Mytilus edulis: one gene and its partner. The protein of the gene in region 1 purifies or fractionates together with the protein of each later gene. This does not show direct contact. Links are inferred from orthologs where the notes say so. Each region holds a gene or a part of one and is shown on either strand. Other genes may lie near its edges.

Region 1 (7,354 bases):
GATCAGTCAGAGCTCAGACATAAACAAGTCTATTTCTGTTTTTGACTTAAAGAAGTCAAAACATGTATTCTTTATAAAAATGTGTTTTCAATTTTAGACTTATCTAAGTCACAAAATGACAGACTTGTTTAGGTCTATTTATGTTGATGAAAAAACTTAACTTGACTTGGTGGCCAAACTACACCACCTTTGACAGTAAAAACCTGTCTGAGAGTTCACAAGGACTTGATCTATCTATATTTAATTATCTAATTGAACATCCTTACTAAACACAGATGTTTTACCTCATTAAGTGTGGATCCAGGTGGTTGCATTGTAAGGTTAATTAACATGATCCCCGATTTTTCAGACTCTCATTCATATTTTTCTTTAGAAGACAAGGCATAATTGGCTTTCAATGTTGTCATTATTTGATTTAGATGCATGACCTTTTTATAAGTATGCGTGGGTCTTGAAGTTTTGGTAACTTATCGACTTGTAGGAGTTGATATTTGCAACTTTTTGATTCTGGTCAATCATTTCTTGCTTAACAATATTTGACTTATTTAAGTCGTATTTTGTCTTGCATTAAAGGGAGACAAATCCTAAAACTTACAAATTTAGACATCTATAAGTCAAAAGCAGATTCAGACTTATTTATGTCTGAGCTCTGACTGATGATATACTAGTGTTTTCTTTTTGCCTTTAAATCTTACTTCAAAAATATATTATACTGCCACATGTACAAGAGTGTTGAACATGTTCAATGACTGACCTATCATGCCTATATATGAAGGTACATGTAGCAATATCTTCATTTAAAAAATTTGTAAGGGTTCCGCGGAACCCAGTGTCTCGCCTACTTTTGCTGTTAATCACACACTCATCAAAAATGATGAAAAAAATCAATAAAATTATTCCTCTCGATACTATCTTTTGATTGTCAGAAGCTTCTGTCCAAGTTTGGTAAAAATCCAGGCTAGTTTAAGAATCTTAAAAATGTTTTAAATACTTTAACTGCAGACTGTATGTAATGTTAACTGAAAGAAAAACTAAGTCCATTTATAAGTAAAATATGGGAAAAATGGAATTTTATTTTTACAAAATTTACATCTGGATACTATCTTCTGATCATAAACAAGCTTCTGGCCAAGTTTCTTACAATTCCAGGATAGTTTAAGAAAGGTTTTAAAATTTTAAAAACTTTAACCACAGAGTGAATGTAATGTTTCCTGGCAGAAAAACTAAGTCCATTTATAAGTAAAATACGGAAAAAATGGAATTTTATTTTTACAAAATTTACTTCTGGATACTATCTCCTGCTCATAAACAAGCTTCTGGCCAAGTTTTGTACATTTCCAGGATAGTTTAAGATAGTTATTAAAATTTTAAAAACTTTAACCACAGAGTGAATGTAATGTTTTCTGGCAGAAAAAACTAAGTCCATTTATAAGTAAAATACGGAAAAAATGGAATTTTATTTTTACAAAATTAACTTCTGGATACTATCTCCTGATCATAAACAAGCTTCTGTCAGAGTTTCGTACAATTCAAGGATAGTTTAAGAAAGTTATTAACATTTCAAAAACTTTAACCACAGAGTGAATATTTGTGGACGCCGCCTACGCCGCCGCCGACGGAATGTAGGATCGCTATGTCTCGCTTTTTCGACTAAAGTCGAAGGCTCGACAAAAACAAATATCACTGAATATTCTTCAACATTTTTTAAGTGACCTATATGTTATGCATGTTGTACAAATGATGATTGCAATTGAATGGAATTAAGACAACAGCGAGTTTGTTGATCCACAGAACATTTTTTAAAACATAAAATGTATAAAACGAATCGTCTTGAGTCGGATTACTACGGGCCGCATCAGTTTAGGGCTGGATTTTGGGGCCTGACCAACAAGGGCACTATCAGTTTGGGGCTGGATCGACCTTATAATGATGATGGAAGTGTTTTAACGACCTTGACTGGCTTTACAGCTCTCACAGTCAGCTCTGTGCCCAAAGAAAAGCAAGGTGAGCATTTAAATATTTTCTGCAGTTGGTCAGGAACAGATGGAAGGCACAATATTGATAGGCAGCAATCTCAGTTTTCGTGAGATACTACCATTTAGTTTGATTGCTATTGTACTTAACAACGACTGCTTTCAGGGCCAGGTTGGTCAGCTTGGCAGCCCTCTAACCACAATGATGAAGTACTGGTCGATGGGTCTCAGACAAAGTCATAATGATGACAGGAATCTTTATCAGGACCAAAGTGGTAAGACAGTGCAATGGTGGTCCATTATCCAACACCTATGATACAGACCAGTAGAAGTCAGTCAGCATAATATGTCCCCTGTAATGTGTGTTAAGGACAAAATGCTAATGCGATATTTATGCAAAACAACAAGTTTAAGATCATACTGTTCAGCATTGAATTGGTGTCTATCATCAATCAATAAACCCTGGAGTAAACCAACATCGTGGATAGCAGTAGTCCAAATAATTATGATGTAATGGAAGGCTATTTCAAATTTTTGCTTTGACGCTTTCCTGTGACAATGTACATGTAAGGCATCAAGAAAAAAAAAAAAATAGCCTTTAAAGACGTTGTAATTATTTGAACTAGGATAGCAGGTAAAGAGGAGCTGACCCAGTTCTGCTGTTCAGTTGTAATGACTGAGGTGCAACTGAATGCTGAATTGATAGCGATGTGGATCGACCTGATAGCTGTACATATACATGATTATGATTTGACATACAATCCAGCCTTTTTTTTTTTATCAGAGATACAAAATTTTGTAAGTGGCTGTGTTACAGTCCTACATTATATTGCTTGTATTTAACATTTATTTAAAACTGAAATAAGAATAATACCACTGCTATCGTTGTGATAACACATGCTGTAGTGTAAGCCCGAGTAACGGGCGGCATTTGCATGTATTCTTGCTGAAATGTTTGTGCCATGGCTGTGTAGTGCAATGTTTACACCGGATGTTGAAGAATCCACGTAGAATAAGATAAAAGTAAAAAGTAAAAGATATCAACACAAATTTTAAAATATTCCTCTTGTAATTTCTTCCGAAACTATATCATTTTTGTTTTCTATTTAGTTAAGTATACAAATTTTATATCTGATTCGTTGATTTTACGATAGGATCTTTTTTCAAAAAATAAAATTGTTATCTGCAGATTTTACTTACACCGGAAGTGAAATAAATGGTACGCACTGAAACCCGGACCGGACCGGACTCCGGACCCGGACTTTGGTATGAAACCCGGACCCGGACCCGGACTGGCCACCGGACCCGGACTGAATGCCGGACCCGGACTGTGGGTTTTTTACCACTTTGATTTTTTTTAAGATTACTGTCATATAAATTATTAGTTACAGTATATAAAAATTAAAAAAAAAATCCACATTCCGAGCGCAAAATTGAACAAAAAAGAGTAAAGTAAAGTAAGGAAGAAATATATAATAATTCCTTTGTCGTTATTGTTTTATTGAAATTAATAAAATCTTTTTTATTATCAATGAAAGCAAATTAAATTCTTTTCATAGGAAGAGTAAAGCGCAATAGTTTGATACATTCGAGGGTTATATTTTTTTTGTATTGTTTTCTTCTTCTAGACATTAAGGGAAAAATAGAATTCCTGCTTTTCTAAAACATTGTTTTGGCAGTCTTAATTAATCACTTTTAATATTAGTTTCCTCTTATGAGAACACCAATTACGCGTTGTTATGTCACTGTGTAATGAAAGTCTCGTGTTTTATTGGGTGTTTGACATTTGCGCCGATTTTTAAAAGTTTCGATCTTTCATTTGCGCCGATTGTGCACAGGTTAATTGCAGGTGAATGTCACATTGATTCTATTCATCAATATAAACCTCTTTCGTTACCCAATTGTACATATGTTATGAATTGTCAACTAGTATCATTAAGAATTCCTATGATCTCTTATTGTAATTCCGAATTCTTATGATATCTTATTGTTCCTCCGAACTCTTATGATATCTTATTGTTTCTCAGAATTCTTATGACTTTTTATTGTTCTTCCGAATTCTTATGCCTTTTGATTTTTCCTCCGAATTCTTATGATCTCTTGTTGTTCCTCAGAAGCCTTATGACTTTTTATTGTTCCTCCGAGTTATTTTAATCTCTATTAAGACTTATATGGTTTCTCCGAATTCTGTTTCTCTAAATTCTTCTCTAATACTGTTCCTCAGATTGAATTATTGACAAAGGTTTACACTCGCTTTAGGATATTGGTTTAATTGAAAGAAAAAGGAAAAAGAAGACACAATTAACCAGGAATTACTTACAAAATACATTAAGGCTATTGGTAATTCAGTGTTTAAATAACCAAAGTAAAAACTATGATGGATTGCTTTTTTGTACTAGCTGTGATCAGTAACTGCGAGTATTCTCATATCTGTAGTTGGTGTCGTACGGTCACCTATAGTTGTAAATGTCTGTGTCATTTGGTCTTCTTTGTCAGCTGTCTCATTGGCAATCACATCACATCACATCATTCTTATTATTATATCAACATTGCAAATAACGCGTCACTTGTCGATAACATGGTATTTATAAATAAAATAATAAAAAAAAAGATTTACTTTCTTATTTGATTGTCATCACAAAGTCTATTAAAATAATTCAACAATCCAATGTTTCACGATAAAGGTGTCAAAGACTACACTATCAATCATAATCAAGCATGTATAGAAGTCAGATTTAAAGGGGCATTAGCTCCGAGATTTAATGAAATGATAAATAAAAATGTTCAATATAGTGAAATAATTTTATTTTAGCAGCCATTGTCAAAATAAACTAATATACATCGCTTATGAATTATTCACTCGTAATCTCCGTATCAATAGTATTCCTTTGGTAAGAAATACAGAAATAATCTTGTGTTACACGTTAACCGGGATATTTTTTACCCCAAGATGGTACTCTGAATAAAATCTTCTGCGGCTCCTGATTGGATGATACAAAGTTGGAATTGCTCCAATAAAATTTAAGCAGCGATCGATCATCCATGTAATACACATTCTTGAACAGGTGAGTCCGGACTGTGACCTGACATGACCCCGGACTAGCTTGAAGTTTACTATACCTGCGTGTATTGCATTACGACGACTAACTGTATGTAAACTGTTTATTGTCGTAAAGTATATTGACGGGACATTTGATCAAGCATGTAATACATAAGAAATTTATAAGATATTTATCCGACATTTAACGAATAATATAAATGTAATAGGCGAGTCCGGATGGTGACCTGAAGTAACCCCGGACTAGGTGTATTCGCAAACTGTAGACATCGATAGAGATATAAAAACTTCACAAATGATTTGATGAGACGAACTTATTCATTTTTATTCATTCAACTTTTTCCTTATTGGATTGTCGTCGGAAACATTAATAAAAGACGTGTACCCGAGAATCAACAAATTAAAATTAGACGAGTCCGGACTCTGATCTGATATAACCACGGACCAGGAGTGTACGGATTGTATATAAATATACTAAATTATTTGTTTAATTGAAAGATTTTTTCCCCCTTTTTACTTTTTACTTTTCCTTTATTCATTTCTCTATTTCTTTAGTTATTCGATTGTCATCGGAAAAATCAATAAACGACACTTAAGCGGCGTTCAACAATGTAATACACATTCTTGAACAGGTGAGTCCGGACTGTGACCTGACATGACCCCGGACTAGCTTGAAGTTTACTATTCCTGCGTGTATTGCATTACGACGACTAACTGTGTGTAAACTGTTTATTGTCGTAAAGTATATTGACGGGACATTTGATCAAGCATGTAATACATAAGAAATTTATAAGATATTTATCCGACATTTAACGAAAAATATAAATGTAATAGGCGAGTCCGGATGGTGACCTGAAGTAAACCCGGACTAGATGTATTCGCAAACTATAGACATCGATAGAGATATAAAAACTTCACAAATGATTTGATGAGACGAACTTATTCATTTTTTTTCATTCAACTTTTTCCTTATTGGATTGTCGTCGGAAACATTAATAAAAGACGTGTACCCGAGAATCCACAAATTTGATTATCTTATTATTATAATGTACTGTGTTACAGTTCTCAAAAAATTATCTTCCTTCTCCTGATTAAAAAAAGAAAAAGGTGATTCTAAGAAAATTCAGAATTATTACCCAGTCCGGGTCCGGCATTTAGTCCGGGTCCGGCGTCCGGTCCGGGTCCGGGTTTCATACCAAAGTCCGGGTCCGGAGTCCGGTCCGGTCCGGGTTTCAGTACGTACCGAAATAAATCAACAAACCATGGCCTCGTACGCTTCTTCACGGGACGAAAACAATTCAGATTTTGAAGAGGTTGACAGCTTTGACTGTGATGAACTGGATGCACAAGCAACTGACGAAGGTAAATATTCAATCTGCTTAATATTTTATTATTCTTTGTGTGGATGCAAAAGATGTTTAGTTTTAAAAATTTTAGTGCTTCATATATATGTTTTGGTATTTTGCAAGATACATGTATTATCTATTTGCTTAGAGTTAATTTTTGGTGCTGCTTCTTATTATTTATTGCATGCTGCATGTCTTGTTTTATTTGTTATTGCATATGTTTTTATATTCGGTGAAAAGCTCATTAGAGCTTATGTTTGTATTGTTTGTCAATATGCCGAATCCAAATAAAGTTTTACTTACTTACTTACTTACTCAACCCTGCACCTGACAAAGGTACTTTTATAAGCATTGTGGCTTTGTGCTGTTATAGTTTATGCTGTGACTTTTATCTCGTTATTGCAATGCATTTTAGAAGTCATATACCAACTAAACTCAGTGGCAATATTAGTTTTCTTTTTGGTTTGCATTCTACAGTTCTAGACCTTCCTATGGATAGAAACAAGTGCCTGTGGTTTCGGCCATGAATCACTTAGGTATATATGTAATTCAAGGAATTGTGTTAAAATATTTAATAATTTAGGTCACCCTTATAATAAGAAGATAAGTGTATTATATTTTAAGCTCCGACAGCATCAATCGTTGATTAGATGGTCACACAGTGTTCTCCCCAGGATTTTTGGATAGCGCTGTGGTAAGCGCGTAATTTTCGACAATTCTCAGTAACTTTATTGCGGCGTGCGTTTTGTTTGTAATTGATTTGATGTGTTTTTATTATATTATGCTATTGATGTTTTCTCTTGTAATGATGTCCTCATCATGCTCATGATAGTTACAAAATGTACAATGTACCCCTTTGTTTGTTAATGTTTTTGTCTGGATACACATGATATAGAAGAAGAGTCTTTTTTTCCTCCATAGTAAATTCATATATTAAATCCTCATACTATCAGTGTATAAAACTGAAGGATAAGTCT
Region 2 (7,196 bases), on another chromosome or scaffold:
AAAAAAACTCAGCAAAACCAATTTTAAGAGCCTAGGATACCTAAAATACTTCATCTCCTATTGAAGCACAATATTTGAGTATTTCAAAGTTCTGTCAGACATCAGTTAGAGTTTTAATTTCTATTTTATACCTTCAATATGAAATTGTCGGATATATTTCCCATAGCAGAACTCATAACTCCACCAATCCTTTGCCTGAAAAAAATATATACATGTACTCAAGGTAATAATTTAAGATACAACAAACAAACAAGAGGCTCTCAAGAGCCTGAATCGCTCACCTGGTAAACAATGCCTTATTGAACATATTGAACCATGCCAGGCAAACATGTACAGCTAACAATTCTTCAATATTACAAATATATATGACTTACTGTTTATAAATAAAGAAAATGAGACCAAAACACAAACACTTAAAACTTAGCAATGGACTGTGAAAATGAGGTCAAGTTCAAATAAAACCTGCGTAACCGACATATAGATCATAAAATATTTTCATACACCAAATATAGTTGACCTAATGCATAAAGTATTGAAAAAATAGACCAAAACTAAAAAAGTTAACTTTGACCACTGAACTATGAAAATGAGGTCAAGGTTAGATGACACCTGTCAGCTAGACATGTACACCTTACAATCATTCTATACACCAATTTTAGTAGACCTATTGCATATAGTATAAGAAAAACAGACCAAAACACAAAAACTTAACTATAACCACTGAACCATGAAAATGAGGTCAAGGTGAGATGACACCTGCCAGTTGGACATGTACACTTTACAGTTCTTCTATGCTTTCGTTTTTGAGATATAAGCCAAAAACTGCATTTGACCCCTATGTTCTATTTAAAGTAAGGGCGGCCATGTTTTTTGACGGATCAAAAATCGAAGCACACACTTTGTGCAGGATAATCTAAGGAACTATCATGCTAAGTTTCATCCAAATCCATTCAGTAGTTTCAGAGGAGAAGATTTTTTAAAGTTAGCAAATATGATGAACAAATTGTGAAAAATTGTCATTAAAAGACATTTACCCCTTAAGGGGTCAATTGACAATTTTGGTCATATTAATCTATTTGTAGATCTTACTTTGCTGATCATTTTTGCTGTTTACAGTTTATCTTCATCTATAATAATATTCAAGATAATGACCAAAAACTGCAAAATTTCCTTAAAATTACCAATTAAGTGGCAGCAACCCAACAATGGTTTGTTTGATTCATCTGAAAATTTCTGAGCTGATAGATCTTGACCTAATAAACATTTTTACCCCATGTCAGATTTGCTCTAAATGCTTCCGTTTTTGAGATATAAGCCAAAAACTGCATCGGACCCCTATGTTCTATTTTAAGTAACGGCGGCCATGTTTTTTGACGGATCAAAAATTAAAGAACACACTTTGTGCAGGATAATCTAAGGAACAATCATTTTAAGTTTCATTCAAATCCATTCAGCAGTTTCAGAGGAGAAGATGTTTGAAAAATTGTTAACGACGACGACGACGGACGCCAAGTGATGAGAAAAGCTCACATGGCCTTTTAGGCCAGGTGAGCTAAAAAGGAACTAAATGAATATTATAAAATTTGAAGATATGTGGCCTTAGGCAGATATGAATTTTCTTTTTTAATTAAATATTCTAAGCCTATCTACAGTGTTAGTTTCAACTAGAATCTTTTGAATGTACATTTAGTCACTGTTTTGCATACACTTTTTACAGGGTACATTTTCTGATAAATACTCAGTTGATGAAGCTTATATAATTCCAAACTCCTAAAATAATTGATCATCTTGTGTATTCCCCTCTCTCTCTTTCTGCTCCATTTAAATAGCATTTACAAGTTTAGGTATTATAAAACAATTGGTAAAAACGATTTTGTCTCATTCTGATCAATATGTTGAAATGATTTTATGTCAGAAAGCATTGAATATAGGTCTGAATGATATACCTGTAATTATAGACATTCCAGAATTTCCTATCCCCTAAGGTTTCATGCTTTATATACAATGTAGATGTAAGTTATTTTTATAGAGTTTAAGCAAAAAAAAACAAAATCTGTCCCTTTAAAACAGTACATCAAAAATTATATACCTTCAGCAAACAAGGTACAGATTCTAATGGTTTAAGTAATTCAGGAATTCCAGTTTCTAAAGCTTCTTTTTCCTTTTCTTCAGTTTTTCTTACTGTTTCCACTTGGTCTGGAAAATGACATTGATATCTCTGTCCATATTTGGACGTTAAATGGATGTGATTTACCGGCAATTCTACCTAGAAATATACATTCCATCATAAAGAAACAGCAATTCATTAGTGTTTAGTTAAATGAATTTCATTTTTAATTAGATGTTGACATTTACAAAAAAATGTAGCTAATATCTAACTAGTTGTGGATCCAATGGGTATCACAAGATGTATGTGCATGACATCCCTAATATGGCTAAAATGGGGCAACATACAGAATACAAATTAAATTTTAGAATAATTTACACTACCAATAAGCCTCTCACTGGTAAATATAAAATTGTCTGTATGTATTATTTGGATAGTCAACCTTCCTTTAACACACAATACACCAGTGACCTTAATATCGCTATTTGTCCATCATTACTGGACATCACAAATGTTCCAGTAAAATTTGTTAAATCACAACAGGACATGCCAGACTCTGCAATGAAAAGTTGGTTGATGCACGACGTCAAGTTCAATGACATCAATAGTTCGACAAGTGTCACAGATTCTTGGGTCAAGGGTCTGAAGTTTCCAAAAAAGCAATATTATAAGTTCTTTAATCAATATGTGTATACAGTAAGCTGAACAAGGATTTGTATAGTAAGATACACAAATCTTAATTTATAATGAAGTTTTCTATAATTTTGATATAATTTATAATATATAAAGTAGCACAACAAAGTTTAAAAATATAATTGAGAAATCACAGGTGAGATTTTTCTTAATTAAGATTTATGGTTTAAAGAAATGCACAACAAAATAACTGTGTTTTCAGATCTTCTCAGGCCGAATTTGCTAAAAAAAAATATGTTGAGGGATGTATAGAAAACCTGCATATTTGTACCTCCGGCTTTAACAACACTGGCTCTTTTAAAATATCGATTCCATAATTTACGTTGTTTATTTCTTCTATATCTAACATTCCTGAAAACATTACTATATTTCCAAAACATTGTGAAAGTAATAGGAAGATTGTGAAGCTGGAAAAGTGATCCATGTTTGTTTTGGTTCAATACGCATGCGTATGATTACGCGACAAGATTAATTCCGAATGGAGAAAGGGTATTGACAAAACTCGTATCACTTTTCTTCCCCAGATCCTGATATTTGCAGTTTGAATTTCTTTAGTAGTTTCGATGATCCTTCTTGAGTGATTTTTATTTGGACCATTTCAAATTTGTGTTCTATGGATTTAATTTTAGTTTACAAATATAAGTATGTGATAATTTAAATATAGGGTTTATAAAATAAGTAAAACAAAGAAAAATTGTAAAAATTGATAATATAACAAATATACAAAAAGATAGGTACAGCCAACTTCAGAACCAAATCTTAATATCGACAGAGACATATTAAACAAGAATATAACGATAGAAGAATTCAAAAAAAGTTTTAAGTAGTTTATGATCATATGAGGGAAGTGCTACTGCTACCTTAAATGCCAGGTTACCTAGACTATGTCCTACATATACTGTAGTTTTTGTCTGAAGTAAAATAATAAGTTCAAATGAAATATATTTCGGGAACGACCGTTGGCATTGCACTTCAAAAGGTAAGGGCATACGATACAATTTTGATCCCATATTGAAATTTTGATGACAATTTGCATATAGGCTATTATTTGGCTGATTAAATCAAATATGTTATAAAAAATTACCTTAATGTGCTACTTTTTGAGTAAAATGAGGTCCAAATTTTATATATTTGCTCTAAATTCGGATTTGTGGACGTATTTTTCCTTTCGACACAAATCCGAATTTTGAGCAAATATATAAAATTTGGACCTCATAGTGGTCTAATTAATTAATTAATTAGAAGTCAGCAATCATTAAAAATCTCACGCATGTTTCTTTATTTTAATTTTTAAAAATCCAAATAAAAAATATATGTTAAAGCTAAATTTATAATATTTATCCTTTCATGTTCCTGTTGAAATCATTAAAGCATCATGCCAGGCTTTTTCAAGAAGGTGAAGCATATTTTTTTATCCTTGCATGTTCCTATGGTCCTAGAAAAAGCAATATCTCAATAGAACTCTTTGTTTTCCTTTGAAAATATGCAATATATATTGATCAAACAGGCCCTTTTCTCTCTTATACTTGTTCGTTCTAAGACACAAAGTCCCATATACGAAATTGGGAAACTAGTCCCCAAAAAAATGTATCAAATAAAGGAGAAAAAAGGGAGGAGGATGAGTTACAGAAACAATAAACCTGTAAATTGAGTTTTGAATATGCATTAGATGATCTTAGATATTTGTCACTGCACGTCCGATGAACAATCAATTAGTACACGAAATGCGCCAGTTTGGGTTATGCAATATTTAAATTAATCATTATTATGATAAAATTATCCTATTGGTAGAGAAATTCACAATTTTTTATATCAAATTGGTCATTTGTTATATCAAATTAATAATTTGTTATATCAAATTAATAATTTGTTATATCAAATTAATAATTTGTTATATCAAATTAATAATTTGTTATATCAAATTTACAAATTGTTATAATTATCAAAATTGAAAATCTGTTATACCAAATTGATAATATCAGATTATTCCATATTGGTATTATTTTAGTAGGTTTCTCTATATGAATTGGACTTTGAATAAAAAAGCATATTCACCTGAGAAAGTGTTATTCACCGCGCTAAACGTCACGCGCTTTTACATGCTACGTTATGGTAAAATGTTTCATGTAAAATTTGTTTTGGTATTATGTTTGTCATCAAATACATTTTATCTCCTCGGAATATGGAATAAAACAATTACTGTCTTTTGTTTCGGTAAATATGTGGTTTAATTGACTTTTGAAAAACTGATATTCACTTCGGCCGTCGGCCTCAGTGAATATCAATTTTTCAAAAGTCAATAAAACCGCATATTTACCTCATCAAAAGACAGTAATTGTATATTATTACATGGCATTTTTCATATTGCATGTATTATCAGCCCTAGGTTCAATACTCAGCCCAAGAGCCGCATGGCTCGAGGGCTGATATTGACCGAGGGCTGATAATACATGCGATATGAAAAATGACATGTTATGATCTTTTTATCATATGCTTCAACAGTAGAAAAAAATAACAGATTCATATATTGATCCTTTTACGTGGTTCCAGAAGTTTAAAGAGTAAAAAAGTTCACGGCCGTCGGACCCAAAATTTGATACATTCAATATGAAATCTTTCTATCATATGTCTCAACAGAGCGAGAAAAAAAAACCCATTTATTATGGACGAATCGACAAAAAAATAATTCAACAATATACATAATGATCATTGTTTGGAAAAGTCAACTTTTTAAAGAAACTTTCTAAATTATGTTTCAGAAAAACTTAAAAAATGCATTTATTATTATTTTTTTTTTTTTTTATGATTTTAAACAATATTCTTTCCAGTATTCAAATAGTTGTTTTGTACACTACTTTGTAATGTTTTTCACTGAAAACGTAGCATTGAGGTGTATTTTCCGGAATTGGCCGAGTATTACCGGAATGCCACGTGATAACGTTACGGAAAGGCATGTGATAAGCATTTGATAAATTTTTCATATCAGCCCGCTAAGCACCAATTCGAAAAATATGGAATTTACGTCAATTTAATGCTATTATCATACGGTAAAATTTATAGGTTATTTAGTCTAAGTATATGATAATCTGTTATATCGAATTGATAATCTGTTATATCGAATTGATAATCTGTTATATCAAATTAATAATTTGTTATATCAAATTGTATAAAGTAATTGAACATGGCCCTTAAAGGCTTCCGTAAGATTTAAATTTGGATTTTGATATTCGACAATTCGTAGACTATAACTTGACATTCATAACAATTTTGAGTTGACATCCTTTTAAAATAAAACCCTGTTTAATAATTACATTTGTATATAAGCGCACGAAACGCAACACATTTGGAGTTGTATGTGTTCAAAAGTTATGACACCATTCATTTTTTTTGCACCAATAGTTACATTAATTAAAAATAGTTCAATGTCATTGGTCGTTACTAATAATAAAACCCATTGTCACTATGTGCGTCATATTACGCAAAAAGACTCATTCTAAAATTATGTACCATATAATACCTGTATTCCTATATAGATCTATATAGGCTTACTGTTTATATATGTATAATATAGTGTTCTTGGTGTAACACAAAGGATAACCATTATATAGACAAAGCTGCAGATAACATTATGACTTTCAAGTCATCTATTATCATTTGGGTTTTAGCGGTTAATTCAGGTAGGTTAAAACGATATTAGCAAATTGTAACATTTTTATTTTTAAATTTCTGATTTATACTAAAAGTTTGTGTTTAAGAGGTATATTTGGAAGTATCTTTAAGACATCAAATAACATTTCACTCATAAGGTTTTACAACATATATGGTAGGGAGAAAAGGACAACCCTGTCGTACTCTGTAACTGAAATAGTTATGACAATTAATTAGATCTTTGATACAACTACAATATGCAGTTGTCACCAATAGACAAAAAATACTATTGTAATAAATAAAAAAACGCACATAAAGTGTACATTATTTTACAACAAAATCTTATTTTTCTTTTTCAGTTTTGCGTATACAAGGCATACCTATAAAACATTCCAAGATGTACAGGAAGTTTATTTTGCCTCCATATGCTACAAGCATTCATCCGTTCATCTACACACCATTCATCAAACTCTTTCATTTTTTCCTCCCTATGTCTTACGGAAACAGACAAAATTGGATCAGTTTTCTGACATTGACAGACACAGATTATGAATACCTCAAAAACAAAGGTCCAACCACTGTACCAACACTGCAGACTACAGACAAATCATTGGAAAGAGCAGACCCACCCGTTATACATATACCGACACATCAGACAACTCCTCGCATGGAGCCAATGGACATTCCAATTCTTCCATTATAGGACTTTAGAACTCCTCTAATGGAGATACATCAAATTCAACGCAAA

What was found.
Region 2: the proteins of derlin-2-like (region 1) and protein OS-9-like purify together in Homo sapiens (affinity purification with western blotting; 3 studies listed by BioGRID, with this or other methods). This does not show direct contact. The link is inferred for Mytilus edulis from reciprocal best matches to the Homo sapiens genes DERL2 and OS9.

The regions. Positions count from the first base shown.
Region 1 is NC_092349.1:14,508,591-14,515,944, forward strand, and holds the start of derlin-2-like, read right to left. Parts: upstream 3,002-7,354; 5' UTR 2,938-3,001; coding exon 2,848-2,937; intron 1-2,847. Other genes in the region: sin3 histone deacetylase corepressor complex component SDS3-like, read left to right, coding at 6,294-6,393.
Region 2 is NC_092345.1:81,442,817-81,450,012, reverse strand, and holds the start of protein OS-9-like, read right to left. Parts: upstream 3,260-7,196; 5' UTR 3,225-3,259; coding exon 3,072-3,224; intron 2,267-3,071; coding exon 2,090-2,266; intron 196-2,089; coding exon 132-195; intron 1-131. UniProt on the Homo sapiens protein: Lectin component of the HRD1 complex, which functions in endoplasmic reticulum (ER) quality control and ER-associated degradation (ERAD).